Linked DNA regions of Lonchura striata. The protein of the gene in region 3 interacts with the protein of the main gene of each other region in a biochemical or structural test. Links are inferred from orthologs where the notes say so. Each region holds a gene or a part of one and is shown on either strand. Other genes may lie near its edges.

Region 1 (7,974 bases), on a different chromosome or scaffold from region 3:
AAATTGAGAAACTGTTGTTCTTTGGTCCTTGGCAAAGCATCCTTAAAAGGAGCCCTATGAGCAGTTTCAGTCCATGCACAGTGGTGAGAGCACTGTACATGGAAAGGAGGATGTCACGATGGCAGATTTTCTGCAGGCAGTGCCATGTGTGACATGGAAACACAGGAGATTCGGTTTCCTGGGGGTCTGTGGTGCAAGGGAGAGAGGAGTCTGGGCTGAGTACTGATTATCTGAAGGGTGGTAACTTGATTGATGGTCCAAGTTGTGTCTCACTGTGGTTTGTTGGAGTTTGGGTGGGGGGAAGAGGAATGTTTTCATTCTGGATTCAGGGTCTTTTACCATAGTAGTAGTTTAATAAAGTTCTTTCCTTTTTTTTTTAAGCTTGAGCATGCTCTGCTCTGTTCCTGATCACATCTCACAGCACTCATCTGGGGAGGGTGTATTTTCATGGGGACACTGGCATTGCGCCAGGGTCAAACCATGACAAGTACCCATAAAACTGGTGTTTTGTGTTATTTCCTTGAGCCTTTTGGGAGTTAAACTTTAAAAAAAAAAAACAAAAACAAAACACCACAAAAAAACCCACCTGATTCTTTGCAAAAACAGTCCATGAAACGAAACTACAGTTTTCTAAGGCTTTCAACCTGTTATTTGGCAGGAATCCAAATCTCAGTCAGAGATCAGCTTCATTAGTGTAGACTCACCCTGCATTTTCCTCTAAGCCAAAGAGATCCAGGCTATGTAGGAATCAGGAATAAAGCTTTGCACATGAAGCTAACCTTACTGCAAACCGGCAAGTAATTTCTTGCCTTATCCTGCTGTATATACCACCAATGGGCTACCCCAGTAAAACTTTGTTACCTTCAAGGTCATGCTCCCACTCGATTTCTTCCAGGCCTCCCTTCCAATGAGCCAGTTGCTGACTCTTCTCAGCCACTCATCTTCAGCCGGGGCAGAATCCGTGTTTGAGCACAGCACGCCACTGCTAGCTTGTCACTACAGAAATATAAAAAGCTCAAGCCTGCAGCTGCAGTATAAAACATTTCTGCATTTCTTTGAGAGTAAGGGGAATTATTCAGTTTATACTTTTATCTCCAGACCCTAAGTGAGAGACCATCATCAATCAGCTTTTAGCGCAGCCTCGAGAAAGTAACGTGCTCCCGTGCCCACCCTGATGCGGCTGAGCACACGGGGTTTAATTTTGCTCCAAAAGATGCCGGGAGGAGCCAGCCCGTAAGGTACAGGATTGCAGCATGGCAGGCAGGCGGTGTGCTGGCCCTGGCTTTGGCCACCTGTGGAGCGGGGCCGGGGAAGCTGTCGGGGCGATGATTCAGCGCCCGCTTTCGTCCTTCTCCTCGGGGAACAGCGGGAGCCGCCGCAGGCGGGGACAGCGCGCCGGGAGCCGCCCCGCTCTCCTCGCCGCAAGCCCCGGAGCCCCTGCGGAGCTGGGGGGCTGAAGCAGCTCTGCAGGCTTCCCTGCGGAGGGGGAGGAGGGGGAGGAGGTCTGGGCACAGCCGGCTGCGTGATGCTGAGGCAGGCGGGCTGCGCGCCAGGGCTGGAGGTGCGGCGGGGGAAAGGACCCGCAGCGGAGCAGGGCACTGCAGCCTGGCCGGGAGCCAGGGAGCACGGGCACGCTGCGGCCGGGAGCCGTGCGGGTGTGCCTGCCTGCCTCCTGCATCCCTCCTGCCCGCCTCCTGCATCCCTCCTGCCTGCCTCCTGCATCCCCCCTGCCTGCCTCCTGCATCCCTCCTGCCTGCGTCCTGCATCCCTCCTGCCTGCCTCCTGCATCCCCCCTGCCTGCCTCCTGCATCCCTCCTGCCTGCCTCCTGCATCCCCCCTGCCCGCCTCCTGCATCCCCCCTGCCCGCCTCCTGCATCCCCCCTGCCTGCCTCCTGCATCCCCCCTGCCTGCCTCCTGCATCCCCCCTGCCTGCCTCCTGCATCCCTCCTGCCCGCCTCCTGCATCCCCCCTGCCTGCCTCCTGCATCCCTCCTGCCTGCCTCCTGCATCCCTCCTGCCTGCGTCCTGCATCCCTCCTGCCTGCCTCCTGCATCCCCCCTGCCTGCCTCCTGCATCCCCCCTGCCTGCCTCCTGCATCCCTCCTGCCTGCCTCCTGCATCCCTCCTGCCTGCCTCCTGCATCCCCCCTGCCTGCCTCCTGCATCCCTCCTGCCTGCCTCCCTCCCGCCTGCCGGGCGGAGCTGCTGCGGGCGGGCTGGGCCGGCTGGTGGAGGAGGAAAAGTCGGGGAGAGAGATGCGCTCCATCCTCAGTTCAGCCAGCCGGGCTGGGGCAGCCAGGGTGAGAAAAGCCCTGCGGCAGCAGGGTGAGAAAGGGAGCATGCCCCCACATGCAGAGGAAATGTCAATTTCCCTGTGTGCATCCCCCGTGCAAATAGCATGCCATCCCTCTGTCCAGCTGTGTGGTGTTCTGCGTGTTCGGTTTAACTTCGTGGCAACCCTGGTAAGAAAGGTGCAGGGCCTCCACGTTCGTTTCTGTTCAGCACAGCACCAGCAAGATGTGAGCCACATCTTGCCGTATCACATAGTTTAAAGGAGAGCAGATAAGTGTAGATAGAATGGAGGGTCATGAAGATTACTGGAGATTGAACACAGGCAGTTTGCCAGGAAGACCAGTGCAGGAAGATGCGGACAGGACTGGGGATTAAACACAGGCTGAGAGACGTGTCAGCATGGAAAATTCTCTTACTGGAAATAGGAAGGTTGAAAATTAAACATGGATAAAGAAGGAAAGTAATTTAAAAAAAAAAAAAATTCTGCCAAGCACTTAGATGCTGTAGTATCTCATCTGTGCAATGAATAGAATATTCCCAGCTGGTTCTCAGCTTGCACTCCGCTTTGAAGAGTGATGCTGTAGCTTCACACTTGAGGAACAACTTGGGTGTGCGAGAGTGTGTCTGGTTTTCCTAGATTTAATCAAATGAAAGGTACATCCTTTCTCTAGAAACCGTGCTTTACTTGTAGCCACAGACCAACGCACCTGTCACAGCAATTCTGCTGTTTTTTTACACTTTGTACAGAGGTTGTGTTGTTAGTGCTGTTTGAAATAGGTTTTGAGATACTCGAGAGAGGCTGCACTAATGCAGGGTATTACCAGCAAAAGAGAACATGTGCTTTGTAATAAGAGAAGCCATATATGTAAATATGCAGTGCAAGCTGTTCTTTCTGTCTGAGGTTGCTGATCACATCATTAACCTAAGGACCAGACACTTCAGTGGTAATGTAGGCTAGATTGTAAGATGATTTATCTTTTTACATTCCTTCAGAGAGTGTTATCACTGGCTGTGCTTTAAGGTAAATGCTCCAAGCACTTGGTTGTAGTAGCATTGTGATTACTTCAGTTGGCTACGACCGCCTCACAGGAAGCTTTGTGATCAGACATCCATCAATTAGTCCTTGACATGACAGTCTGTAAAAACACTATGGGATTCATTGAGATTTTGATAAGTCTTTTCCATGCGACTGTTACTAATGTTCTCATGGAAGGGGGGCTGAGATGGGAGTGGAGTTGGAGGCAGAGAGAGAGCATGGGTAGAGCCAGATGCCTCTTTTGACACCATCAAAAATAGGTAACTACAGAGGAATTTACCTTTCATGTGCCTAAACAAGACACCAGCAAAAATTAGTTCAGGGCAATTTTTAGCACTTGATTCTTTGTTTCCTTATGCATCCTGCAGCCATCTATACTAAAGAGAAAGGGGGAGTCTCACCAGCAAAATTTCAATGCAAATGTTTTAATTAAGTTCAAGGACCTGGAAATTGTATTATAAGCACCTTGCCTTTCATACATGTCTTTATTGTTACATGGGTGTATTTTTCTGTGAGAGACAAAAGAGACTGGGAATAGATCTGATTCTAGTCTTACTTTCATTATGTTAACTGGACTGTTGATTTACCCCTGTATTATACTGCACTGGTGGAAATTGTAGTGTTTTGTATTAGTAAAGGTGAGAAATGACAGCCAAATGAAGTGCAAGCCTTTAATAATAATAATAATAATAATAATAATAAATAAAATAGTTTGATTTTTTTTTAATTTTATTTTTTTAGTGTAAGGTGAGTGAGGATCTAGTCTAGCAACATGTGAGCTCTTGAAAAGTGCATTCAGGAACTGACTTTACTGTGAAGTCTGGGGTTTTTTGGGTTTAGAAATGGGTCGGGAAAGGAGGTTGGGAAATAGAATTTTAAAAAAAGCAAATCTCCTTGCAACAACTCGAATGAAAATTTATCAGAGATGGGAATGGATTGGTGTTTTTTATTTACTCTGCTTGATCTAAGATGCATTCCAGCCCTATTCCTAGGAAATAAAACTTACTCAGGAGCTTGGAAAGAAGAGCTGTCTCTAGGTGTCAGGCAGGGAGAAACTGCTTCTGGAAAGAGGTTTTCCCCCTGGGAGAGATTGAATATCAGACTGAGCGAGCCCAGTCCAACCCAAAGAGCTCCCACCGATCTCAGTCCCTGCTGGAGGACTTTGCCATCGATGGCCGCCGCTGCCTCTGGCCGCGCTTTGCCTGGAGAGAGGGAGTGGGTGGGTGAGCAACTCCTGTCCGCTCCCTCCCTTTGATTTGATGGCCTTTATTCCTCCTAATTGGATAAAATAGGAAGTCACTGACAGTCCTGCGTTGCTGTGTGTACTGATTTCACTCAGAGCAGCCTGCAGAGTGCGGGGGGTGGGGTAGGGGAGGAAGGAGCGAGTCCGCACATCAGGGAAACAGGCTGCGAGGGGGCTGGGGGAGCGGGGCGGGGGGGAACGGAGGAAAGTGAATGAGCGCTCAAGGAGGACAAAGAGGGAGGGGAGATAAAGGGAGTTACCACCGTCTTGGCATCGCTCTTGCTTTCAAACCTCTCTGTAATGATATTGTTTGCAGTGATGCTCAGACAGCGAGCACCTGCTGCTCTGTAATGATTCAGCCTCTTTCAGCCGCCGCTGTAACACGACAGGATGCTGCTGCTACTGTCACTTCTGCCGTTGCCGCTGTTGTTAGAGATTTTGCTTTTGCTCCTTCTACCGCATGACAATTGTTTTCCTCGTCTAAGCAGATACCAGCCTCAGATGCTCAAGGTGAGAGTCTTGCCTTTCGCTCTGGGCTACTGGTTTACTTAATCTGGTCAGTTTGTTCAGTGTTTGTGGTTTTCTTTATCTCATTGACCCTCCTTACCCCTATTTTGTTTTGTTGTGCTTGCTTTTGGGGGAATGTTTCTTCCCCCTGAAGAAGAGCTGAAATTGCTTGAGAGGCGTTTAAGGAATTATAAAAGTGGCTAGCAAACAGGAGCTCAGTAATTGCAAAGCTATTCTCACTCCAGAGAAGCAGAGACAGTAACAGAGGGCTTGGGGACACAGGGACTGGCGGGGGGGGGGGGTCTAATTTTTCCTGTGCATTACTCCTCTCTCAGTTTGGATGATGTTGCTGAGCTTCGACCTTTTATTGACTCCCACTCTGTGATTTTTGCAGAGCACTGTGACTATTACTACCGTCTCTTTTTGTCTGTGTCTCACAGTAATGGACTGTGATAGAGTTAAGGCCTTTTGGAGGTGAGCTGTTTGAGAGCTGATGCTTAAACATGTCTGAAGTAGCTGCCGACACTTTCCCCAGCCCCTCAGCTCAGCTGAGCCCTGACGCGTCCCTCAACGGGCTCCCGGATGAGGAGAACATGCCGGGGACCCAAAGAGAGGACAGGAGGGTCCAGGGGATAGCAGGCCTTGCCGCAACCTGCTGTGCGTGCCTGGAGGCCGAGCGACTGAAGGGCTGCCTCAACTCTGAAAAGATCTGCATCGCCCCTATCTTGGCTTGCCTGCTTAGCCTTTGCCTCTGCATTGCTGGCCTCAAGTGGGTCTTTGTGGACAAGATTTTTGAGTATGACTCTCCTACCCACCTTGACCCCGGGAGGATAGGACAAGACCCAAAGAGTGCTGTGGATCCTACAGCTCTGTCTGCCTGGGTGCCTTCGGAGGTGTATGCCTCACCCTTCCTCGTACCTAGCCCCAAGAGCAAGGCTGAAGTGACAGTGCACAGTGACAGCTCACTTGTACCCTCCAAACCATTCCTCCAGCCTTCTCTATATAACCGCATCCTAGATGTTGGGTTGTTGTCCTCTGTCGCACCTTCGCTGTCACCACCCGCCCTGGAGCCTACCACAGCATCTCAGGCACAAGCAACAGAAACCAATCTCCAAACTGCTCCAAAACTTTGTAAGTAAAAACTATGTGTTTCTTTGGGTTTTTGTTTTTTTTTTTCCCCTTTGCAGAAAAAAAAAAAAAAAGGCACTTAACTGTTCCCTGACTGTCTACAAGGAGGACATGTGATTGACTTGCAGAGCTTAAGCATGCTAAGAGAGATATAGCATGGGTTGTCTTCTGAGAGCAGCATCTAGAATCCTCAGAACTTAATTCTGTCATGTGCAGGACTTCATCTGGGATGTCTGTAAAGGGCTAGTACTGCCTTTTTCTCTGCATCCACTTGTAGGGAAGTATGTGATTTGTTTCAAGGGTTTATCTGATGGCTGTTACACATAGTGTATTGTCCTTATAAATTGGCTTTGTCTCCTGTGCTGGATCTTCCATGTGTGTTCTTTGCCTTGCCTGCAGAGCATTTCTGGTGCATCCTTCCTGAAGTCTGTGGCTGGCAAATATCCCTGTCATCCTCATGAAACTCTCAGAACAGTGAGAAAAAGTGACAGTAGATTTGAAGCAGTTAGAAACCGGGAACTATTACTTTAGCATCTAACTTACGATCTTTCTCTTAAGAGCAAAGCATACATTTCTCTGTACCTTTCTCTATCTCTAGGAGCTGCTTCTTGTTTAACTTGTTTCTCATATGTTGCCTTACTGCCTTTTGTGAGGCATTTCAGGAACGCATTCTTGCTGATGTAGAAAGAGTCAATTTCCAAATTAGACTTCGTTCATTATAAAAACAAACAAAAACAGGTATCTGTATTATTTTCTTAGTAGTGATCATAAAGCATCAAAATACTGCATTACTCAAGTGCCATTTCTTTGACATTCATTATTTTAACCCACCAAATTCAAGGCAAACCAAGCCAGCAATTCCTGAGCTGTGCAAAGCTGTGTAACTCTAGTAAAAGGGAAGACAGCACAGTCTTCTGCTTGAGAGCACAGGGCTGAGGTTTCCTGTCGAAAGCTGCAGTGATCAGAGTGAAAAACTGCACTCCTCACAAATTTCCATGCAGGACCCCATGTCATTTATTCTCTCTCATGCCTTCCCTATAATGCCATAGGTTGGCACGTTGAAGATGGCACATACTGGACCTCACCCTGGAGCTCTGAAGTCACCAGAAGTTCACTTCTAAGTTTAGCCCCACTAAGACTGAACTGAGTATAGATATGTGGCATTTGGATTAAATCTAATATTTCAGGCCAACACCCTTGCCAGTGAAAATGAGTATAACTAGGGTGATTTCAGAGGAGGTCCTTTCAGCTGAGAGTCAGTCTTGAACAGCAGTTCCAGAATCAGTGAAAGAAAGTTCTGAATATTCCTGTAGAAACCCATCTGCCTTTTGCCTAGATGATGGGTGGCAACCATCCTGCAGATTAAAAGTAATTTGCTAGAAGGAAACAGTCTAATAGAGAAACTCTACTGTACCAGTAAATGATAGGGAGCCTTGTCTGTGGTGTTACTTTAATTAACCACCTTTGCAATTAAATAGAACTATGCTAAGTGAGCTTTCTTTTAAATATTGCTGATGCATAAAATCTTTTTTTGTAGTGCAAACGTTCTGACATTAAATATATGACTTCTTAACACACTTTGCTTCATAAAGTGACCAGAGACCACTATTCAGTCATAATTGCTTCAAGAATCCCTCTTGAATTTCCACATATGTGGCAAACCTTTTTCAAAAACATGCTAACTCCATCTCTGAAGTAAACGAAGGGGTGGAGGGGCACAGAAAATATTCTTTGGAGCTGTCACTGACAAAAAGCCATTATCTGCATTTAG
Region 2 (7,022 bases), on a different chromosome or scaffold from region 3:
CACGCAGCAAGAGCAGGAGACACACAGCATCTTAGCCGGTGAGAAGGGGATGAATCACTGGAAAACAGACCCAGGCACAGAGCCAGAGCAGGGAGAAGATAGTCCTGTGAGGCCTCCATCTTTGGGAGTGGGGGGATTGGAGTGATCAGAGCCACAAGGTCCTCCCTTCCCGCTCAGAAGTGACCCCACCATCTGTCCCCCAGCTCCGTAACATCCCTCATACAGCTGCAGCCCAGCTGTCCCTCAGAGTGCTCCTCGTGCCTGGACATTCACCCCCTGCCAGCTCTGGAGTTCTCACTACCCCTGTGTGCAGCAAGAATGGGAAATACCCCTTCACCCTTTTGGATCTCCCCTCCCAGCACAAACCACAGAGCAGGAAGGCAAACCGTGGTTTCCCAGTTCACACATCTTTCCAGCAGCTCGGGTGCTACAAATCAGAAGATCCCGCCAGGAAAGTCACCTTCAGAAGTAACCTCCCAGCTGGACCAAGAGCATGAAGTGCTCAGGGAACCACCAGTTCAGCAAGCTGAGGCTCCCATTTCATCTTCATCACCAAAGCAAACCACAGCTATGACATTTCCCAACCACCAGATTTTATTTTTCCTTTGGAATCTGCCATCGAGCTCTGCTGAGACAAGGCTCCCACCAATCTGCAGTGTCCCTCAGCCAGGGAGGCGAATCAGCCCATCAGAGCCACACAGAAACAAAAGCATCAGCTCCAAGGAGGTGTCACGACAGAATGACAACCCTTAACTTGTTGTTACATCAGCCCACACATTAACGCTTTGGGCCTGAGCCAGGATGCCACAGAACAGCCTCCATTCCCCTTAAAGTCAAACCCTGCTGCTCAGAGATGCACAAGTTCAGAATCCTTTTTTGATCTTAAAAAAAAAAAAAAAAAAAAAAAAAAAAAAGGCAATAAAAGCCACGTACCTTTTGCTGTGTTTTTCCCTGACAATGAGACCACAGTCCTGAGAAATTCCCCCATTTACTTTTCTCTTGTCTTTACCACAGCTCTTTCACTAAATCCTCTCTGTCCACGATGGCCCATATACAGATGAACATGAAATTAGTGTCTCCCAAATTAGTTTTCTTGCACACAGTCCTAGCCCATTTTCCTCAACAACATATTATGATGTGGAAGGTTCCACCTTTCTCCCAGGAAATGCAAGCTTCTAAATTTATCTTTTGGATAACTAAAAAAAGAGACAGGTCTAGCTTTCACAATGCGGGGTCAGCAGTCCCAAATGGCAGAGTATTTGCCCCAGAAACACACAGTTAATACCACAACAACCACCACAGAGCAGTACACATATGGTCATTACAGAGCTAAGTATAACTTGACAAAGTACCTCGCTTTTAATGAGGCAAAAGGCCAATTAACCTTATGAGAATGCAGTGTATTAACATTGAGTGGGGAGCCTGGATTCCCTGGAGGTACACCCTGTATATCCTCATAACACACCAAAAACGAGGAATTCAAACCCTTGCTGAGGGCACGGCACGGCGCTCAGAGCTCTCCGGGTTAACACCGTCCTTCTCCAGATTTTCTGACACAGTATCCAGCATTCAGGCTGGATGAAGGGCCAGCCGTGCATTTTTGTCAGCTCAGATCCAAACCCTGGGAAAATGCAGGCATTGTCCTCGCCTGGTCCCCACCGCCCAGCCCTTCGCAGGTGTTCACCTGCCAGAGGACAGCAAGGAAAATCCAGGAACAAAAGCGGGGACGCTCCGGCGGGCACTTCCCGTTGAAGTCATTTCATAACCGCGTTTCCAGAGGTGCTGGAAGAACAGCACAAGCCACCGCACGAGAGCCGTGATCGGAAACACCGAAATGCGCGGAACGAACAAAAGAAAAAACAACTTCCCCCCCTCGCGAGGCCGTTATTTTGGAAGACGCAAAACTTCCCCGCTCTTAGGGCGCACCTGGAGCGCTGCCCCTGTCCCAGCCCCGCATCCCGGGCCCGGCCCCCTCCGCAGCAGGGAACGCGCCCGGGGCGGGGGTCGCGGCCGGAGTGACCGGAGCCCCCGCAGGCCGGCAGCTCTCCCGGCAGGGCTGCCACGGCCGAGGCCCCCGAGGGGAGAGGCACCGGGGCGCTGGGACCGCGCTGAGCCCGAGGGCTCCCGCGCGGCATCACCGAGCGCCGGGCGGCCGCGGGCTGCGGGCACTCCCCGCACCGGGCCCGGGTCTGCGCTGCTGGCGCGGCGCCGGGCTGGGGCTACCGGCCCTTGAGCCGGGCGAGCGAGGAGCGCCGGGGCCGGGGAATGGGGGGAGCGCGGCTGCGGCGGCCGGGCCGCGCGGAGCTCATCGTATCGTATCGTATCCTATCGTATCGCACCGCGCCGCATCGCATCGCATCTCCCCCGGTGCAGGCGCGGCTCCCGGGGCCCACCGGGGGCGAAGTGGGGGGATGATCGCCGGGCGCCTGTCCCCCGTAGGTCCCAGCGGTACGGACCTGTCGCCCCGCGCCTGCCCGGGACGCGGGCCAGCGCTCCCGCCGCCGCTCCGCCATCGCCCCCCGCCGCCCCCCGCCGCCGCGGCGCGGCCCGTACCGCAGTCGGCGCAGAGGATCCGCGCCACGTCCCGCTTGAGGTTCTTGCCGCTGGTGTCGAGCGGAGCGAAGGCGGTGCGGAAGACGAGCGGCTCCTCGGTGGGCTCCAGGAAGAAGATGTAGCGGTGGTTGCGCTTCACTTTGAAGCAGGGCGCCTTGGAGCCCACGCTGATGAGCTGCTCCCGCTGCAGCCCCCCGCTGTTGAGGGGCCACAGGTCGAGCACCTTGACCAAGACCCCCCCGGCGGGCCCGGCGCCGCGGCTGTCATTGCCGCCGGCGGGGGGGCCCACGGACTGCACCTTGCCCTCCAGCACCACCGCCGCCGTGTACGCCTGGTCCTGCACCGACTTGAGGCTGGGCGAGTAGCAGGCGAGGGAGACGCCGAAGAGCAGCATGGAGAAGCCGGGCGCCGGGTCGCGCCTCATGCCGCCGGCTGCCGCTCGCTGCCCGCCGGCCCTGCGGCGGCGGCCGGGCTGCGGGGCCGGGCTGCGGGGCTGCGGCGCGGCGGGCGCGGCGGGGCGGAGCGGAGCGGCGCGACGCGGGGCGGCACGGCACGGCACGGCACGGGGCGGCACGGCACGGCGCGGGGTGGCACGGCACGGTACGGCACGGCACCGGCACGGCACGGAGCGGCACCGGCACGGCACGGCAGCGGCACGGCCTGGCGCGGCACCGGCACAGGCACTGGCGCGGCGCGGCGCGGGGAGGAGGAGGCGGGATGCTCCCTCAGCTGCCCCTGCCCCCGGGATGCTGACCCCCGCACCCCCCCGGAAAGGTGATTCCCTGCCCGGGGACTCCCCCCGGGGATGCCCGCTGCGGTGGGGATCCCCGCGTCCCTGGGGGTCCCCGGGGATGGAGGCAGATCGCGTTCCCTCCATCCGCCCATGGAGCCAACCGAGGCGTTGGCAGAACCCCCCTTTTCCCCGCAGAGGCGATCAAAGATGCGCTCATTTGGGGGCGGCTGCAGGTGACACGGGGGTTCCGCGATGCGCAGGGCCCGGGAGCCGGGGATTCCTCTTTCCCGATGGTTTTATGGAGCTGGGAGATTTGTGCCCGAGATTCCCTGCACACCTGAAGGAAAGACATTAACATAGAGACAAACGGAACACGCAGTGGCCGAGGAGACAAAGCCGCCTTTCATGCCTGTTCCTGCTGCCTCTCTTTAATAAACAAATGCTTTTCCCTGCAGTGGCTTCCAGGAGGAGTCGCTTTAAGCTCCAAAATGTGCTTGTTTGGGTTTATTCCCGAGGCTGATCCTGAAGCATCTGCACTCGCAAAGCCTCGCTTGCCCAGGCGGTGCGAAAGGGAGCTGAAATGCTCAATTAGCAGCAGCGGGGGATTTTGTGGTTGTTGCTGCACTGGATTCTGTGTTGAAGGGGAGCGGCCATAGTCCCATCCCACGGAGGTGACCTGGAGGCAGAAGGGCGATGGCTCTGGGCACAGACTGCAACAGTCCCTGTGCTTTAGGGCCCCGAGGAAACCCCTCAGCAAACCTCAAGGGATGAGTCTTCGAGCCCACTCTCTTTGAGTGAGAGCAAAGGAGCACAGATGGCAGGACCTGGATTTGCTTCCATTTAACATAGCGCAGCCAGAACCGTCAGGAAAAACGGGAAAGGAGCAGAGCCGCTGTGCCCAGCCCAGCCCAGGCATGGGGCGTAGCCTCTGCTCGTGTTTCCCCGGCTCGGGGCGGGAGGCAGCGCTGTCCCACCCTGGCACAAGAGGGCACAGCCCCAGCACACGCACCCGGGGCTCTGGTGCCAGCCAGGACCGCTGCTCTTCCCCTCTCCGGGACTGCTGACAGCTCTCGGAGCAGCGTTGCCATTGCAGGGCCGTGGTGCACCGGGAGCCCCGCAGCGTGCCCACAGCAGGGCTCGGGGACCATTTACTTCTGGTGCACATTTCCTCTCGCTAAGCGTGATTCTCTGCGGCTTTTTGGTCTCAGATGTTTCCGAAGGCTTTCTCTTTCCCCCTGACTGGTGACCACGCAGAACTGCAGAGAAATGCAGGTGGAGGTAGAAGGGACCAGAAGTGTTTCCCACGGCAGAGGGAAGAACAGTATTTTAGATTCAGGAAGCTGCTCAGAGGAGCAGGGAAACCACCTGACTTCTCTCTTCTTTTGACATAAATCTCTGTGGAATTTCCCCTTTCCCTATCATTTTGTTCAGACAGCAACTGAGGTTCTGCCTGAATAGGAAGGATATACCCGATAGCATCACTTCATCTGGAGCTCGCCTGCTCTACCCTGCCCCTCAGCAGAAAGGGCAGTTTCATGCCCAGGCAGCTGAGTTGCTAATCCTTGTCTGTTTTTGCAGGCTGAAATCCCAGCGGGACCACCGCAGTTCTCCAGGTGAGTAATTCAGTGCAAGATACCTGTGAGGCCTCTGGGGAAATTTTGAAAAATTCAGGTTTTCTTTATCTCTGGGGTATTTTGAAGTCCCGAACACTTAGGCTCAAACAAGGGCACTGGTCACATCTGCTTTCAGCAGTATTTTTCCTGTTGTTCAACCTAACTCTTGTGAAGTCAACTGGTTTTCATCACTTGAGACAGCTGCTTTTCTCTTAAATTTCAGAAATGGTTTAGGACTAAATCCCTCTCCCCCCATTATGCAGTTTTTCCCATAAAGAAAAATCATTATTTTCTATAGGTCCTTGGGCATTTTGACATATGAAATAAATAAAGCAAGGTCCTTGGTACAGTTACCAGAACAACCTGAACACTGGCTTTGAGAGAATTAAGCTTAAATAACCGATTTTAAAAATACTTTCCTTCAGACTAGGGTAACTGTTGGCAGGGACCCCAGGAAGGTCTGTGGTCTGTTTTAATTTACCCAAAGCCCACCTCTCCTCTACCTCCCCACTGTGAAAACCCATCATACTTGCTATCCTGGCAGAGATGGAGAATCTGAGCTCAGCCTGGATGCCACCCCAGAGTTCAGCAGCACCATCAGAGATTTTCGTTCCTCAGGTAATTGTTCTGGGGGCTGTTTTTTCTTTTACCTCCTTTAATTTTGTTCCTGCAATTTCCCAGAGATGCCTGAACACAAAGCACCTCTCAGGTCTCTCTTGCCCTCTGCCAAGGGAGCTCCTGGCACAGAGCCCTGCCTGGTGCAGATGCCACACAGGGCAGTGTCCCAGTGTCCCTCCCTTCTTCAGGGAGCCCTGCAGCTCTTCTGCAAGGACAGGTGTTGACCTCCAGCAGCACAGGCAGGCGAGCTGTCCTTGTTCAGCATCCTCCACAGGCTGCAGATGCTCAGCCTCCTCTGTGTCAGTTGAAGGTCTGCTCCTGCAAATCCCATGTGGGGCTTTTGGTGTAAGGAGGAACAAAGCAGAGTCACAGAACGTGCTGAGCTGGAAGGGGAAGCATTGAGTCCAACATCTGGCTCTGCACAAGACATCCCAACAACTCACCCTGTGCCTGAGAGCATTTTCCAAATGCTCTAGAGCTCTGGCAGCTTTGGGGGCATGCCCATTCCCTGGGGAGCCTTGGCAGTGCCCAGTACCCTCTGTAGGAAGAACTTTTTCCTGATATCCAGCCTAAGACAGGTCCAGCCATTCCCTGTGTCATCCAGCATGGGGCTGTGCTAAGCTCTTGCCCATTTCAGGCCAACCTCAGAACCATGAATGCATTGCAAGGTGCCCCCCCACCTCCCACAGCCCTTCCCAGCACCAGCTGTATCCTGCAGGGAGCCCCAAGCCCTGCTGGTGTGCAGGTGGTAAATACAGGAGACACCATCCCATACCCCAGCCAAGGGAACATTGCTTTCCCTCTCTATGGGACATTCCTGTCGGAATCTGAGGTATTGATGATTCCCAGATTGTAAAAAGTCTCTGTCTTTCTGCCCCACTGCCAAAGCAGAAGCCATAATTGGTCTGTGCTGGTTTCCAGGTTGTTTATTCTGTTTATCTCTCACATGTTCTGCTGCCCTGCCCAGCTCTGTCCTGCAGGGCAGCGTGTGGGGCTCTGCCCTCAGTGGGATGTTACAAACATTAAATACCAGAAACTCCCTGGGCTGGATTTACAATCACGTGCCAATATCTGTCACCTACGTTGGACAGTGTGTCCCCAGCCTGAACCAACAGAAAAATGCCAACACCACAGTGAAACATGGGGGGCATGAAGAAGGAGAAAAAGGACAAGACACACCCAATTTCCTCCATCTTGTCCCTTTTGGACCTCTCATCTAGAATCCTAAAATTTTACTTTTGCGCCCGTGCCACACTTAATTATTACTTATATCAAACACTCAGAGTTTGTAATTCATCCTGTTAGGTTGAAAACTCTTTTCCATGGACAGAGATCACAGCCAGTGTCTCTGGGGGCTCTCTCCAGGGGGGTTCCTGACCCCTGCCAGGGTCCCAGACCTGCCAGAGGGAAGCTCTGGATTCCCACAATTCCTTGCCTGCAATAATCAGGTGTTTTACAAAAGCCCCACAAATGCCATCAAATCCATTGCAAACAGTTTTTCCCAC
Region 3 (7,992 bases):
GGCTCAGGAGAAAGGCTTTCCCCTTCATGAGCTGCTACTGCCAAGTCTCATTTGCTTTACTCATAAGGCATGTATTTCAGGTCCTTATTATTACTGTTTTCATGTTAATTACAAGCACAGCTCCTAGTGCCAAATTCCATACACATAAACATCAATTACCATCTCTTTTTTTAAAAGCGAAGTCACAACTCAGTCACTGGGGCACGCAGCAGTGCCGCTCTCAGCAGGGCAGGTGCAGGCACGGAGCCTGTGTGGTGCAGCCCCGTGCTGGAGCTGCCCCAGGATCCCCGGGGATGCCCCAAGAGCGGCACCAGAACCAGGCTCCTCTGCCCTGCAGCAGCGCTGGCTCACAGTGCTCTCAGGGGACAGGCAGGGACAGCAGCAGGCTGCCCTGCCCACCATGCAGAGATGTCCCTGCAGACACCTGAAGGGCTGTGTGGCACGGGAGGCACAGCCAGGACGTGCTGAGCCCACAGCAGCGCCCGCTCCCCTTTGGTGAGAAGGCCCAGACAGAGCGACAGAGAACCCTCGTGCAAGGGCCAGGTTCTCTGATGGCAGTGACGGGCTGAAACTCCCAGGCAATATTTATCGTGCCTTTGGAAAGGCACTCCAAGCTCAGCCTAATTTTAACCATCAAATAGACATCGTGGCAGAATAAATGGGAGAGGTGCCAAGGAGGGCTGTAGCAAAGGAAAGGAGCTGCATCTCTCTGAAGGCGTGTAGCATGTCCCATCCGACACGGCCCAGAGAGGAGTAAAGGCATGAAATTAAAGACTGCCCATACATCAGCCTGAGCATGCTTCTCACTGGGAAATAAAAAAAAAATTTTTTTTTTTTTTTAAATGGAAATTTAAAAAAAGAAAAAAAACTGAAAAGATATTTGAAGTACAATTATTCTCAGAACAGCTGAATAGTGAATACTTCAAACAGGACTAAGTTAATTTGGCTGTAATTATTTAACAACTCACCAACCCCACATATCAGAAAATGGAGTTAATTTATCAGCTATTTTCAAGCAGAACAAAGACTCGCCAGCTTCCAGGTAACAGCCCAAGCTGTTTGGCTCACGTGACCCCGCCTGAGCTGTGCACTGCAAACATTATATGCCCAAGCACGGAGACAGAAGAAATCAGAAAACCCCAACCTGTTTACATATTTACACACAGGATAATGAAATCAAAAGTTTGGCCAAGAGCTTGCTTGCACGAGCAACGGCATCACCATCTCTCTCGATGCACTGAAAATGAAGGCAGCGGCCAGAGCACCGTCTTATTGCCCCCCAAAAGCCAAGAGAGCCCAAATTCCGGGGGATCCTAAACACTTGCAAATCATGGCTCCCTGTCCAGCCTGCCCTGCTATTCCAGCAAGCACCAAGTAGCGAGGCTCAATCATTACTAGCTGCCAGTGCCCACAGCAGTGCCTGAACCTCTCCAAATAGGAAATGTCACTCCAACCCCTCTATTTTAATAAACCGATTTTCTGTTTTGCACAGTGCAGGGCACAGAGGCTTTTCAGCAGCACCGATCCAGGAGGCTTCCCCAGAGAAGACAGGAAGGCAGGCGAGCAACCCTGGACCGATGCTTTTTATTTTCACTGGGGTATAAATCCAGCAATGAAGGGTCTTTGTGATCGTCCACGCCAACAGCCCGGTCCGAGCGGTGGGAAGGATTGCTGGAGAGCACGGGAGCATCCCAGTGGGGACGGCTGCTGCCCAAAACCGGGGCACAGGCTACGGGGAAAGTGTGAGACAGAAAAGTATCAAGTGAGGCAAAGCGGCTGCCTGTAAACAGGGAGGCAGGCAAAAAGATACAGAGAAGCAGCGCCTGTGAAACGAGGAGTGCCATTCTTCTTCAGCGGGGATTTACCGATTCAAACCGCAGGAAGAGAATATACAAAAGAAATCAGCAGCTCAGCATTTCACCCCTCCCGATTTCGAGGGTTAGGAAACAATCACACAGCGAAAAAGTAAACTGTGTCCCAAGATCAAAAACCGCCTTCAAAGCCCAGTCAGACAGGCGAAGCCAGGACACGCTCCTTTCGCTTCTCACAAAACGCATCCTTCCTTCTCTCTGTTACATAAAGCCCCAAAATATAAACTAAATTGTGACAACGAGGAGCTGTTGCACCAATGCCGCCCAAACAGCATAAATTTTGCATCACCGGGGAGGGAAGGGAGGGAAAAAAAAAAAAAAAAGAAAAAAAAAGAAAGAAAAAGAAAAAAAAGCGAAGTTACAAAGACTGAAGAAATTTCCTTTTAATGTTTTATTCACAGCAAAGGGGCGATGCAGCGGGGGGCGATTCCCCGTGCCCTCCCCGGGCGACTGAGCCGGCACATCTCGTACTACGGCGGCAGAAAGCGCTGCTCGGATGCCAAGAGGAAAACAAAATTCAAGCCAGCGCTGCAAGTTTCCCTCCAGAAAGTTAAAAATTCCGGGCAGACCCTGCCGGAGGAAGAAGCGCCGATTCCAGCGTTAATCTCCAAGCCGCCCGCTCGCCCTCCCCCGAGCGCAGACAGCTCGGCGCGGTGTTTGCGCCGCGGGGCCGGACGCGCGGGTGTGCGGGGCACGAGCGGCGCCCCGGCCGCCCGGCGCTCCGCGATGCCAAGTCCGGGAGCGCGGCCCCGTCGGGACGGCGGCGGCACCTGCGGGGACACGAACGGCGCCCGGCGGCGAGGGCGGCCCCGGGGCCGGGCGGGGACAGCGAGCGGGACGCGGAGCGCTGCTGCGCGGCGGATCCGCGACCGCCGGCCCCGCTCCGCTTCCCGCGGGGGACTGTCGCCCTCTGGCCGCCGCCGCTCCGCGGGACCCGCACGAACTCCCGCACCCCGCGCCGGGCACCGGGACGCGGAGAAGTTGTCGGGAAGGCGCCGCTCCGGCCGCTGCCGACGGACGCGGCCGCTCACCCACCTGCCTGCGCCGCCGCGGCGGCCCGCGGGGCCCCGGCCGCCGCCGCCAGCACGCAGCAGCTCCACCACAGCAGCCCCCCGGCCGCCGCCGGCATCGCGCCGCCGCCGCTGCCTCAGCGCCGCCGCTGCCCGGCCGCCGCCATCCCCCGCGCAGCCTCCGCGCTGCCGCCGCCGGCTCCCAAAAGTTGCCGCCGCCGAGCCGCCGCCCCCAGCGCCGCCCCTCCGCGGGCGCGCCGCGGCGCCGACGGGGCGGCCGCGCCGCTGCCGGGCCGCGGGGCGCTGCGCCGCCAGCACGCGCGGAGCGGAGCGGCGGGAGCGCGGCGAGGACGAGGAGGAGGAGGAGGAGGAGGAAGGAGCGAGGGGGTGAGGGAGGAGGGGCGGCGGGCCGGAGCGAGGGGCGGGCGGGGCCGGCGCCGCGCGGGACCGCCCCGCGCCCCCCCCTCCCCACGCGGACGCTCCGCACCTGCGGAGCCGCGCGCCCGTGCCCGCGCGCCCGGCCTGAGGGGCGGCCCCGAGGAGGCGGCACCGGGAGCGACCCTGCCCCGGGCGGGCCCGGGACACCTCCCGACACAGCCCCGAAACGGCAGCGGCCCCAGCCGAGCCCGTCCCGCCGGCGGCCGCGGCCGAAACGTGAAGAGCATCCTGGGCAGCGTGAAGCTCTCCGCCGTGGGAGCCCCCGTGCACCTGATCCGGACAAGGACAGGGCGTGTCACTCTCCTCCCTGGGTTCTGCCCCGAACACCCGCTCCCCTGAGTGCTCGCAGCCGCTCATGCGGCCATGAGCGCCCCAGCGGCGCTCTCAGCACCAAGGCGAGTGCAGGGCTTCCCAGCGCCCAGCCCAGGCAGCTGGGGAGCTTTAGGGTGGAAGGGCTGCAAGGGACGGAGAGAGGTTTTCAGGGCAGCAGGGCGGGTCGGCAGCACCTCGGAGATCACTCTTCACTGTGCTGCTGGGTGGACTTGGCACTGAAGTAGCTGATGAGAGCTGCGTTTTCCAGCCTGCCTGCAGCTCTGAGGGGCACAGAGGTGTAATGGCATCTCCCACCAATGCACTCCCCATCCTGATGTCCCCTGCCAGCCTGGTGGCACCTCCTAGATGCTCTGGCGACAGCTGCAGTGCCAGGGTCCTGCAAGCATCAGCCCAGTACCTCCCCTCACCACCACCCACCCCAGCACAAGGGTGAAATGCCAACACAGACATCCCCCCTAACAGATCCTGGGGAACAGCGTCTCATCAAGACTTGTCTTGGAAAGACAGACACTGAAAATCTCAACATCTCATCACAGGTGGGAGACAGCAGCTGCCATTTATCACTCTTGAGGAGTTGATTGGCATCCTCAGTCGTAACTGAATTCTGCGAGCTCACAAGAGAAAAACACCTTCAGTTCTTCACTTCATGTCCCCAAAATGCATGCCCTAGGTTTTGAAGCCTGCTTACCCCGATCAAGCCCTTCTGGAAACACGAAGGAACTCTCCTTATGCCTGTCCAGCTCTTCTGTGCAGTACTTCCCGGAGTGACTTCCCAGTGATGCTAACAGCTCTACCTGGCACCCCCAAGCAGTTAAGGTGGAAGACTGCAGCAGCAAGTGCTTTGCGTCCAACCAGCTCCAGTGGAATGGTTTTCCCATAGGAATTACCCTCAGAGGAATAACCCCAGTCCCTCCAGCCAAACTGCCTCCTTTCCAGGGAAGCCAGAGGCTTGCATGCCTTTAAGAAAAAAAGAAAAATATCCCCAAATCAAGACAGTATTTCAAGTGGGATTATTGCTCTTTGGCCAAAGATCTGGAAGTTTAGCTGGAACTTACTAGGCAGGCCTTGCAGAAAGGAGGCTGCAAAGAAGGAGGTGTTGTTGCCCTTGGTGCTGCATCCCCCTGCCTGCATCAGCGGTGGCCAAGGGGCCATGAAACTGGCAGGCAGAGGCAGGTGAAAGAAAAGGCAGCCAGGAAGCAGAGCCCTGACATGCAGGGTCTTCAGCCTTTCTTAGGTGTTCCCTGAGAACACCACATGGGAGAGGCCAGCAGGAGAGGCTGGGAGCCAGCCCGTGCCCTTGCTGAGCAGATTAGCAGCAGTGCTGATCATCCCTCCTTGCCACCCCCAGGAAAGAAGCGTGATCCCTGCCTGGCGCAGAAATGGATCCAGCGAGAGGCTGTGAGGCGAAACTCGCTCAAATATTGAACTAGAAAAATTTTGCTCGATCTGCCTCTCAGTAAACAGTGACTAATTGCTCTGGCTGGAGTTGCTGTACCTTCTAGATTGGAAGGTGCAGATGGAACAACGATAGTGAAGGCTCCTTACCTGACACCGGCTGTACATTAATCACAAATGTTTGCTATGCAAATCTTGTCATACAAAGCAATTATTGCTGTTCCCATACTGACCTCATGTTTATTTATTACATGAGCTCTTTATTGGAACCTTGTCTGGTCTCTCTTCCCATATAAGCGTATTAGTATGTGGCTTCCAAAGGCACCCAGCTGAGAAATTGTAGATTTATTTGTGGCGTTGGAGGGATGGCACACGACACGCTGACTGCAATGCAGAGCTGAGAGGCTCAGCTCTTACACCAGTGGCTCTTCATGCAAAATATTCTCACCCTGAGGTCTCTTGCTGGGATGAAGGACACTTTCTAACCGCACAGGGCTGTGACTCTGGGTTTGCTCTGACGCTGCAGTATTAACCGATGGTTAATGGAGACTGTCAGCCCGAGGAGCCGCACAATAAAACTCTGCTTGGGCTTCTTTAGGGTCTGCTCAGTAAAAGTAAAATTTTACACAGTGCTTCGTCCTTGGCTTTGTCACCTTTGCCTACCTCCAGAATGATGAGTTGCAAATAGATTTAACTGTGCCACCAAGTAAGTTGCAAGTGCGCTTTTGAACGTGGTGGTGTTTGGGTAGCTGGAGGGATGGGTGTCTTTAAGCACCAAATATTCTCTTGCCAGAGGAGTTTTCTCCATGTGATTTAATGTCGGGCAACACTGGCATCCGGTGGGCAGAGAGTTTCCTCCTTAACAGCTTGTGGCAGTTCACTCCCTTGATTTTGTCCTATGGCTTCTCAAGATGATCATTAAATGCAATTTCTACATTAATCTGGGCTTTGTTTTCCCCCTTCCTTCAGTTAGGCTGCAAAGCAGGCAGAACAAGGTATTGTCTGTTTAGTGTTTTCTTTTAAACACACCCTGCTACACAGTCTGGGATCTTCTGAAGTCAGCTGCCCCTCCACGCTGATCAATTTTGCTGTGCAGGGACTCTGCCTGCCTCACACCGCAGGGAAGTCTAAGTCTCTGTTCCTCTCTTGAGCGGGACAGGAAGGGTCTCCATGGTTCCTGCTTCAAACCAAACCCTCCTGTCTGACCTCTTTGGGCCCCTTCCTTGTCCACAGACAGTATTGGTGCTCTTTAACTAGGGGAAACTGTAGAAAAGCCCCCAGAGCCTGAATGAAACCAAATCCCTCTTACACCCCTCAGCCCTCCCTGCCTCTCTCGCTGTTCTTTCTTCTGCTCTCACCTCTGCTTTCAGCTCTTCCCAATGTAGCATCATTTGCTGATGCAATTAATTGGAAGCAATAATTGCTTCCAAATCATTAATAAAGCAAGTAATTAACAGCAGGCCTGACAATGAACCTAGCAATGCCACACTGTGTACTTTTCCTCCTCTTCAGCATCCACCCCTTCCTTAGGATCTCGGCTGGCTTTCCATCCATTCGACAACTTGCATGCCCCAGTCAATTTGAAATATTCCTCACCCCCCAGTATTTCTATTTTATGGTGCAGCTGTAGCTTTTGCTAATTGTTCATTTAATGACTGTCCTTTTTTTTTTTTTTTTAAAGCAATATTTTTCTTGAGAAGTTGAATTTAAAAGGGGCCATAAATGACTAATAGTAATTAATAAAAATGAAGAAATAATTGGGCAATGTCTTTAAATGTATATGCCTTGGGTCAAATTCCTAAATCCCTGTTGCTGTTAGATCAGCTTGGGGTTTTATTCTCCCCTGAAGGAGCAGCAGTGCCCAAGACTGTCAGGGAATACTCCAAGTGATGGAATAACTCTCCAACAACCCCAGGAAGCTGAGGGCTGGGGGTATGTGGTGGACCATGCTGGCAGCACGTAGCTTACTGCTGCTCTCCTCCCTTGCTGACAGGAGAACTGGCTGTGCCAGGGCAAGAGGGGCTTCGGGGACCTGGTGGACAACTTGATCCTCTTGAAAAACACCGCCTTTAACCCGTGGAGAGCCCTGCCACTTCCACAAGACTGTTAGAAAGGGATTACACATTTAAGGGCAAGAGAGTTACATTAAAAAAAAAAGCAGCAATAAAAGGCTTTTGTGGTTCAGAGCATAAATCAGCCTTTTACTGCTTTCCCTTGCAGGGAGCGCAACCGCAAGCGCCTGACTCGGGGATTTTTATATCTAGTGGTGAAATATCTGGGGGACAGCAGTGCCAGGGAGCAGGCACAGGACCCTGTGCCTGAGTCAGCACTGCCCAGCCAAGGATGCTGCAGCATCCTGCTGGCTTCAGGAGGGAGCCTGAGTGTGACGGCATGGAGTCAGGGATGTGATCCCGTTGTGCAAAGCAGGACTTGGAAGTGCACAGAGATGGTTTTGAGGGCCACTTCACCCCTGCTCCCCTCTCCTGATGATATTTAACTGCTGGTGGTTCTCCTTTGCCAGTGTAGACTAGCTGAAACTCAGATCCATTGCCCCAGCTCATTACAAGGTCACGTTTTACAAAGTAGCACAGCCACCCTAACCAAAAGTGTGCTGGCTAATTGCCTGCGGTGTGAAATTAGGTTTGTGGTTTCTGTGGGATCAAGTGTGGCTTCCTCCTCTCCTCCACAACCTCCTTGGTTGTGTTCCCAGTTGCCGATGAGCATTTGATGCGCAGAAAATACCTCAGTTTGCAGCTGAAACACACATTCCAAAGCCCTGGCTTTGCTTACACCCAGGATGGTGCAGAGGCAGGAGGACTGGAGGAGCTGGGACGTAGCAGAGCAGAAAATGCCGCGTGGGGCTGAACCTCAGCAGGCAGTTTGGGAGTTGTCAGGCAGGGTAGGTATGAATGCCCTACAGGTAGGGCATTAGGTCAACATGTCAC
Region 4 (7,866 bases), on a different chromosome or scaffold from region 3:
GCTTAGTTACCCAGCATACCTAACCACAAAACACAGGGCCAAATAAAAGAAGAATGGGGATGCCTGAGATGCTGTAGTGAGCTGGCTGTCTGTACAGACTCATCTTTTCCACTACAACACCATGTGTGCAGTCCCTTTTCCCCCTATGCATGGAGCTCTTCCTTTTCTGGCTCTCCTGGCTGGTAGCAATGTTTAGACTTGTGGCAGTATCAGAAGAGTGGTTTGAATGAAAACAATGCTGAAGCAGCAGAAAAAACAGAACAATAGGCTCCTTCCACAGAGGAGGAGGATGATTTGGGTGATGGGATACACATTTGTGGGAGTGTGTATGTGTAGGTTTTTTTATCTAGGGTGGAAGAGAGTTATTGACAGAAGAAATTTCATCTGCCAAGGGCTGCATGTGAATGCTTCTGTACTGTTGGGCAAAATCTGTTACTTCCCCAGAAAGCTTCTATCTTCACAGACTCTCACTGAACAGGCATGAGAGTACCCCAAGCTATCCTGCATGCACTGTACATAAATGCTAGTTTAAATCATAGTAGTGATTCAAAATAACTTTTAAGACAACAGTGAAACTATTTTGCCAGGACAGATCTGGGCAGACATTTTAAGAGCTGTCAGTCAGAGATGAAAGGGTGAGTGTTTGAACAGGTTACACCAAGAAACAACATCCTCCTTCGATACGGTTCAGCACTTACAAGCTTTCAACATTTACGGCAGAGTAACTAACCTTGTGTCACAGAGCTTTTATCATATTCTTAATTCTTTCTTATTTGTTTTGAAGCGTTTCTCCAGAACCCCATGGTGGCTGAACCCCAGAAACCAGGTGGCTGCAGCTTGGAGTGGCAGATGGACACAGAGCAGCACTGCCCTGGGCCATGTGGTGGGCAGTACCCATGTGGTGCCTTGCAGACACCCAAGGGAAGCTGCAGCTGTCCTGAGCTCCACAACTTGTTCTGGAACTGAATGAAGGTACAAAAATTTGACATACTGTACACATGTATCCCTCAATCAGGCCTCTGCTCTTCTACACAGTTACCAAATACCTTAACTAATACATCTGCATCCTAAATACCAGTCAAATATTTCACACACATCTGTTTCTCTTTGGTGTACAGAGGGTTTATGATCTGGAAGAGCAAAGATTACTGCTAGAATTAATTTTTAAGCTATCACCAGCATCCTTCTAGCTAATTTTTTCCTAAATTACAAATAGAAACTGCCCAGTTAATTCAACAGTCAGGCTCAGGAGTCTCCAATTTGTCCACAGGCTCCTTCTGGCACAGAACTGATACTTCAGGCAGATGACAGTTAGGCTGTCATGCCCAGTATGACGTAAGACTGCTCAGCCAGCAATTTTTAGAGTATGATTTTTGTAGCATGCTGTGGATGAGGAGCAAATGCATTGTCAGTGCTTATAAGAAGCTTCAAGAAATGGATATACCATTAATATTTAAAGTCAGAAGTGTTTCCAGAAATACCACATTTCTTCTCAGCCACATGACTGTAACTTCAGTGCTGCCTTGGTCTTTTTTACCCCTTACTTGAACAGCTCATGAATGGCAGATTGACTGGAAACCCAAAATCGCCAGGACAGTAACTGATACCTCATTAATGCATGGTGCCAGACCTCTTCACAAGAAATTACCCTTGAAAAACAACCTGTTATTGATGCTTCATGAGGCTGATAATATCATAGCTAATACAAATAGATAGCATTGGTGCAGATTTTACCTCTTGGCTTTGCATGGTTAATAACCATGACACTCTGAGAAGTAAATACATATTAGCCTCCATTTTAACAACATGGAACGGTGTGGCTCAGTGTCATCAGTAACTCAGCAGCACAGAGTTGCTTTCAGTTTGGGGAGTTTCTTGCTTATATCCCCATTGCTCTTTAGCAGTGACCAGAAGAGCTGTTAGCAGCCAAGGCATCCCCTGTTTGTATGACACCATAAAAATGATGTTGCTGAGGGGATCAAGTGGGGCACAGTGTGATGATCTGGCTTGTTTAGCACACATCAAGCAATGGTTAGAGTTTGCTTTTTTTACAGGGTACAGCTTGCTCTTTAAAACCTATTATACAACAGCAAAAATCCCATGCTGCTGCCCTTTTCCACATGCAACAGGCCTTAGAAAGCCCCTGCCTAACCCCATCCACAGGAAAGATGGGTTTGTGTGTCAGACAAGTTTCCTGCAGCTAGAAATTAATGTAACCCATAGCAAGCTGTTCTATGTGCAGAAGGTGCTGGAAGAGAAAATGAGGGATATCATGAGATCTGAGGAATAAGAACAGTGCTTAAATTCAATTCTCCTTGGTGCACTTGCATATAACAGTCTCTTGACACTTGTGTCTTCTTTTAAAATACTAATAGCCTTCCTCTAGATAGTTCTTCATGATCAGCAAGTAAAAAGCATTAGGAAAGAAAAACAGTATTTCTGTTGATTTTTAAAGAGTGGCTCTATGCTACGTGGCAACTGCAAATGGCACGAGGGAGTTCTGTGTTTGTTGTCTCTACAGTCTCCAGAGAACATATATTTTGTTTACAAGGCAAACCATTTATAAATGCCAAATCCTGCAAATTCTAGCTGGAATGAGACCAGGAAATAGCTCTACTGAAGAGTTTACCACGGGCTGGTTCTGCCCGAGACTGCCCATTCTGCAGGAATACCCTTTGCTCATATGCACATAACAATGTCCGTACAAGGTCTGGGACTTGGCACCATGTACCCCATGCTGCACCCTGGATGTTCCCAGCACTATTTTAAGAACTGTTTTGTTATGTGTTATTAGGAGGTCTATTTGTAATTCCCCATCTCCCAAATGTTCTTAGTGCATTAATTTAGCGAGTTAAGGCATTTCTGGCTCCATGTGCTCTTCATTCCCATTTACTCCATCCATCCTGTGACAGAGTACACATCAGTCCAGTGGGATGAGCCACCCCTATTTTAGGCAGAATTATTATTGCAGCAGGGCTCAGTTTGAGTACATGCACCAGTATGAACTCCCTGGGAAGGTAGAACATGAGCTTAGAATTCCTGTCACTGAAAGCTGGCTTTCACAAAGCTCTGAGAGGAATGTCTCCTCACCTTCCCACCACAGGACAGAGGTTGGAAGCTGGTTGGCTCTGAGTGTTACCAAGCCAATTTGTCATTGTCACATCAGTTCTCAGTGGTAAAGGCATCTGAGGGGAGCAGCACTGTGGCTCATCCAGGATGAAGCAACATTATTAAGACATTGCTGAAATAGTTGCTAGCATGGAGAGAGAAATACTTCCAACTGCTCAGGTCCTCTAAACTGTGATGAGCACCATTATCTTTCAGGACAAAACCTCCTGCCTTCTGCTTTGATTGGAGTGCTTTATACTAGTATTACAGAAGGTGAAAGATGTTGGTTTACTAATTAGTTACAGAATTGAGTGTATGTTCAGCCACCCAGCAAGATGCTGCTGCCAACCACTCCTGGTGTTATTCACACAGCAGTGATTTCCTCCTCCTCTATGCACTTGGCCAGTACAACAGGTCCTGGCAGGAGCCCAAGGAATCAACCTGAAGCCTGGTAACCCACAGAGATCACAGAATCAATTAGGTGGGAAAAGAACCCTGAGCTCATCGAGTTCAACCTGTGACTTGACAGCACCATGTCAACCAGTGAGTGGTGAGTACCACATCCAGTCTTTCCATGAACACCTCCAGACAGTGACTCCACCACCTCCCTGAGCAGTCCATTCCAATGTCTAATCATCCTTTCTGTGAAGAAATTAATCCTAAAGTCCAACCTGAACTTCCTCTGGCACAGCTTTAAGACTGTGTCTTCTTGCCTTCTCCCTGGTTGCTGGGGAGAAGAGGCTGACCCTCACTAGGCTACAACAACCCCCTTGTGCACAGCTTAGGACAAGCCCAGCTCCCTTCTGCAGCTGGGCACACGGCCCTGGCTTTATCCTCATGCCTGCTCAGCTTTGTAGGCAAACCAGCCTGGCTGTAGCCTACAGGGTCAGCGTTGCTCAGGCCAGCCTTGAGGCCACAGCCATCGCTTGACAAAGCTCAAGTATTTGGACGACAGTCTCGGGTTTGGCTCTTGAGGCTGTCCTGTGCAGGGTGGAGAGATAGATTTGATGCGTCCCTTCCAGCTCAGGAGATTCTGTGATTCTCCTGGGCTGCTGCTCATGGTCAAGATGGGAGGCCTCTCCTGGGGTGCGATCTGGCAAGTCACCCACGTGGGCTCTTGTCCCTCAGCCCATGTCCATGTGCATTCCCTCGTGTGCCCGTCCCCACTGATTGCCTTGCCTGTGGCAGTGCCAAGAGGATGGTGCCAGGCTCTTCAGTGGTGCCCAGAGACAGAAGAAGAAGCAATGGCCATAAACGAAAGCACAAGAAATTCCACCTCAGCATGAGTAAGAACTCCTTTATGCTGAGGGTGGCAGAGCACTGGAACAGGCTGCCCAGGGAGGGCGTGGAGTCTCCCTCTCTGGAGATATTCAAAACCCGCGTTCCTGTCACCTGCTCCAGCTGACCCTGCCTTGGGCGGGAGATCCACAGAGGTCCCTTCCAACCCAAACAATCCTGGGATTCTGCGTGCTGCGGCAGGGCGGTCTAGGCTGGGGGGACAGCCCTCCCTCTATCCCAGCTTCCCTTCCTGCGTCCCTCCTTTCCTCCCTCGCTCCCTCCCCTCCCTGGGCGGACCGGAGGCGGCTGCGGGAGCCGCTCCGTCCCGCTCCGCCGGCGCTCTGTGGTTTAAGATGGCGGCGGGGGCTGCGGGGGCGAGCCCGTGAGCCGCAGCCCGGAGCTCCGCGGGAGCCGCCGGGACCGGCCGCGGGAGCAGCGGGACTCGCCTGCCGGGCCGGCAGCGGCGGCAGCGGCGGGATGTGAGCGCGGCCCGCCATGGGGCAGCAGGTGGGCCGCGTCGGGGAGCCGGGCGCGGGGCTCCAGCACCAGCCGCCGCCGCCGCAGCAGCCGCGGGGTCTGCGGGGGAGCAGCGCGGCCAGGCCGGCGGGCCGCCGGCGAGAGGCGGCCGGGCGCTCCGCAGAGGGAGGATTCAATGTCTTCACCCAGCACGGTGAGCGGCCGGGGCGAGGGGGAAAGGGACGCGATCGGCCTTCCTCCCCTCCCTCTTTTGTTGTGGTGGGTTTATTGGGGGAGGGGAGAGGCAGGCGGGGGGAGCGGGGCAGCCACGTCCCGGGGGATGCTTGCCCCGGCCGCCACGTCCCGGGGGATGCTCGCCTTCGGAGGAGCTTCTCGCCCCCGACCCGGAGTTACGGGGATCCGGACTGCCCGCCAGCCACAGCGGGAGCGAGGTGGCACCGCTGGGGAGCGGGACCCGCGGGGCTCGGTCGCTGTCACCGCGGCGATTCCGAGCTCTGGTTTTGTTTACAAAGGTAAAGGTAACATGTGCCTTGTCCGACTGTTTGCCGAGGCGTTTGTGACTTGCCGGTGTAGATCTGTGAGACTGTGTCGGTCCTGACATAGTAAACAATTTCGTTTTGACTGGGGTATTATAGCTGCCATCTGATTCTCAGTTGAAGTTTTTGCCTGTCCACTTCTGTTCTTATTGCTGTAAACTGAGACCGGAAATGTTTCATGTACACGTCTCTGTAACCTCTCTTAGAAGGACCCACACACCTTCAAATCTCCTTTGTAATCATGTTTTATATATATATATATACACACACACACACACACACACTTATTTGTGCATTATATTAAGATGCTGCCAAGTTTTGGGACGTAAGATCAACTGAAACCTGTCTGCCTTAACAGGCATGTTGAGAGTAGATGAGCGGATGCATCTCAAATCCTAAAGACCTGAATCAGCTCTGGAGAGCTTGGCTTTAAGTGGAGAAAGAGTTGTCATTGTTTATAAAGCAAGGCTGCCTCTGACAATACACGTTTTCTTTTGCTCAATAGAATGAGCTCAGGCAAAAAGAGTAAGGAAGTGCAACCAGCAGTCTAAAAGTAAATATCTTCTGTGACTGCTGACATATAAGTATCTATCAAAACAAGAGCACAGCATTAATCTGTTCTTAAAAATCTCAGTGTTATCACAGCTTTTGAGTTCAGGGAGCAGTATCAGCTTTAAAACCAAAACAGAACATGCTTGCTGAGCACCTGACCCACTGTTAAACTAAGAGTTGTTATTTTATTGCAACTTCATGTTTTTCTCTTTGTATTTTTTTATGTTAAAAGGCACTTTGGCTAAAGCATTCCTATCACAGACTGCACACTTGCAGTGTTGAGGACATCTCAGAAATTAGACACACTTCTTTTAGTGGGGTGTGTCTAAGTCTTTAGTAGCAGAGCAAGAATGCTGTAGAGACTGCTGTGTACATGCCTGCTAATGTCAAACTGTCTTCTCATGCTTTGGTACCAAGATGACTCTTTGGTTCCTGCTGTTACAAGGCAAGGACAGAAAGGATGTTTGTGAGAAGTGCATTACAGCATGTGGGGATGTGTAGTGACTTCCCAATAACACAGTTGACACTGACTCAAGCACTTGTTTTCGTTTTTGCTGCATGTTTTGGTAGTAATTTAGTTCAGCATTCTGAACAATTTCTTCTAGCGCCTCCTCGCACCCTACTAAATTTCAAAGATAGACAGTAGGGAGAATTATTTACATGTAGTAGGAGGGAAATGGAGAGGAAAAGCTTTCTGAAGCATGCATGCGCACCAAGAAGACAAATTATGTGCCCTGCCAGCTCTTCTGCTCTGTCTTCCAGAGATGAGAAACAAGAATGAGCCTGGAAGGCCAACACACTGAATAAAATGGTTCAGTGCCATGTAAAAAGAACATTGCTCTGGGATAAGAGCGATGGTATCTTTCAAAATAATTTCTTTACTATTTATATTGCTTAGGTTATCTGCTTCAGTGGTAAGGTAATGGATTTAGCTCTACTTAGGGTCTTTACTTAGGATTGTTTCTGTTATTTTCCTTGCAGACTGTAAAGGAAGGTGTGTTTTAAAAACAAGATACAGCTTTTTATTCTGTTAGATTATGTGGAAGGGGTGGGACTTCTTGGCAACCCACGTTTTGAGAGTTTCAGAGCAGGCTTCAAACTCCTCTTCCATCTTGGTGAGTGCCTCAGGTGTATGAAATTGTTCTCTGATTCCATTCACATTTTACTAGGAATGAGTTAACAAGTCAGTATTAATAATCTGTAGCAAATGCTAGTAAAGTTGGATACCTTTTTAAACACTTGTCTTGTGCAAAAACTAATATGCATATAGTATTCCTGAGTCTGGAGTTCACTTCCTTTGCCAGAGAAACTGTTTTCTGTGATCCTGACTCTCCTTGTCCAAGGGGATTTTTTATCATCAACTTGTATTCCTATTTTTCATTTAATGACCTTGCTCTCCTGTTTTACTTAGCCAGCAGCAAGCCAGGTTTTCTTTAAGTGAGTCATATGCTTCTGCTGCTGAGATGCTCTGGTTGCTTATGGTATTACTTGATCCAGGTGCCTCTTTTCTAGTAATTTCTTCCTGAACTCCACCTTCCATCCTGTTTCTGGGACATGTATTTCCACAGTGTATAGAAAGTGATGGCAAAAGCACAGGATTGTGGGTTAGCTCTCTTGGACCAGTGGCTAAACCAGCCAGTCACAGGATGGGGCTGGATTATCTCCCTTCCTTGGCTTTCCTTGATGCAGTCATGGATGTGAAGAAGACAACCTGTTTATAAATCCCTACCTCGTGTTGGCAGCTTTCCTACCACGTTGTGCCAGCAGCAAACCTTGCTGAGTACTCCTGCCAAAGTTCATTTTGAGGCGCTGCTTCTTCTGGATTGTTTATGAAAAGGGTGGAAATAAACAATGTTTTCAGTCTCAGACCCGTTTTGCTACAGGATTTTGAAGAGCAGTTTGAGTCAAATGGATG

The links. The genes of interacting proteins can lie anywhere in the genome.
Region 1: the proteins of ERBB4 (region 3) and NRG1 form a complex in vitro, tested with the Homo sapiens proteins (2 studies listed by BioGRID and IntAct, with this or other methods). The link is inferred for Lonchura striata from reciprocal best matches to the Homo sapiens genes ERBB4 and NRG1.
Region 2: the proteins of ERBB4 (region 3) and NRG2 form a complex in vitro, tested with the Homo sapiens proteins (2 studies listed by BioGRID). The link is inferred for Lonchura striata from reciprocal best matches to the Homo sapiens genes ERBB4 and NRG2.
Region 4: the proteins of ERBB4 (region 3) and ABL2 form a complex in vitro, tested with the Homo sapiens proteins (2 studies listed by BioGRID and IntAct, with this or other methods). The link is inferred for Lonchura striata from reciprocal best matches to the Homo sapiens genes ERBB4 and ABL2.

The regions. Positions count from the first base shown.
Region 1 is NC_134642.1:4,914,115-4,922,088, reverse strand, and holds the start of NRG1 (pro-neuregulin-1, membrane-bound isoform), read left to right. Parts: upstream 1-5,120; intron 5,121-5,469; exon of another isoform or gene 5,470-5,515; 5' UTR 5,516-5,578; coding exon 5,579-6,206; intron 6,207-7,974. Other genes in the region: uncharacterized protein LOC144248186, read left to right, coding at 4,959-5,120. UniProt on the Homo sapiens protein: Direct ligand for ERBB3 and ERBB4 tyrosine kinase receptors. Concomitantly recruits ERBB1 and ERBB2 coreceptors, resulting in ligand-stimulated tyrosine phosphorylation and activation of the ERBB receptors.
Region 2 is NC_134617.1:15,390,411-15,397,432, forward strand, and holds the start of NRG2 (pro-neuregulin-2, membrane-bound isoform), read right to left. Parts: upstream 2,978-7,022; coding exon 2,554-2,977; intron 1-2,553. Other genes in the region: uncharacterized protein LOC144247139, read left to right, coding at 2,976-3,027, 3,077-3,153, 4,865-4,899, 5,444-5,517. UniProt on the Homo sapiens protein: Direct ligand for ERBB3 and ERBB4 tyrosine kinase receptors. Concomitantly recruits ERBB1 and ERBB2 coreceptors, resulting in ligand-stimulated tyrosine phosphorylation and activation of the ERBB receptors.
Region 3 is NC_134610.1:34,848,729-34,856,720, forward strand, and holds the start of ERBB4 (receptor tyrosine-protein kinase erbB-4), read right to left. Parts: upstream 3,001-7,992; coding exon 2,907-3,000; intron 1-2,906. UniProt on the Homo sapiens protein: Tyrosine-protein kinase that plays an essential role as cell surface receptor for neuregulins and EGF family members and regulates development of the heart, the central nervous system and the mammary gland, gene transcription, cell proliferation, differentiation, migration and apoptosis.
Region 4 is NC_134611.1:2,545,163-2,553,028, forward strand, and holds the start of ABL2 (tyrosine-protein kinase ABL2), read left to right. Parts: upstream 1-4,866; 5' UTR 4,867-4,881; coding exon 4,882-5,056; intron 5,057-7,866. UniProt on the Homo sapiens protein: Non-receptor tyrosine-protein kinase that plays an ABL1-overlapping role in key processes linked to cell growth and survival such as cytoskeleton remodeling in response to extracellular stimuli, cell motility and adhesion and receptor endocytosis.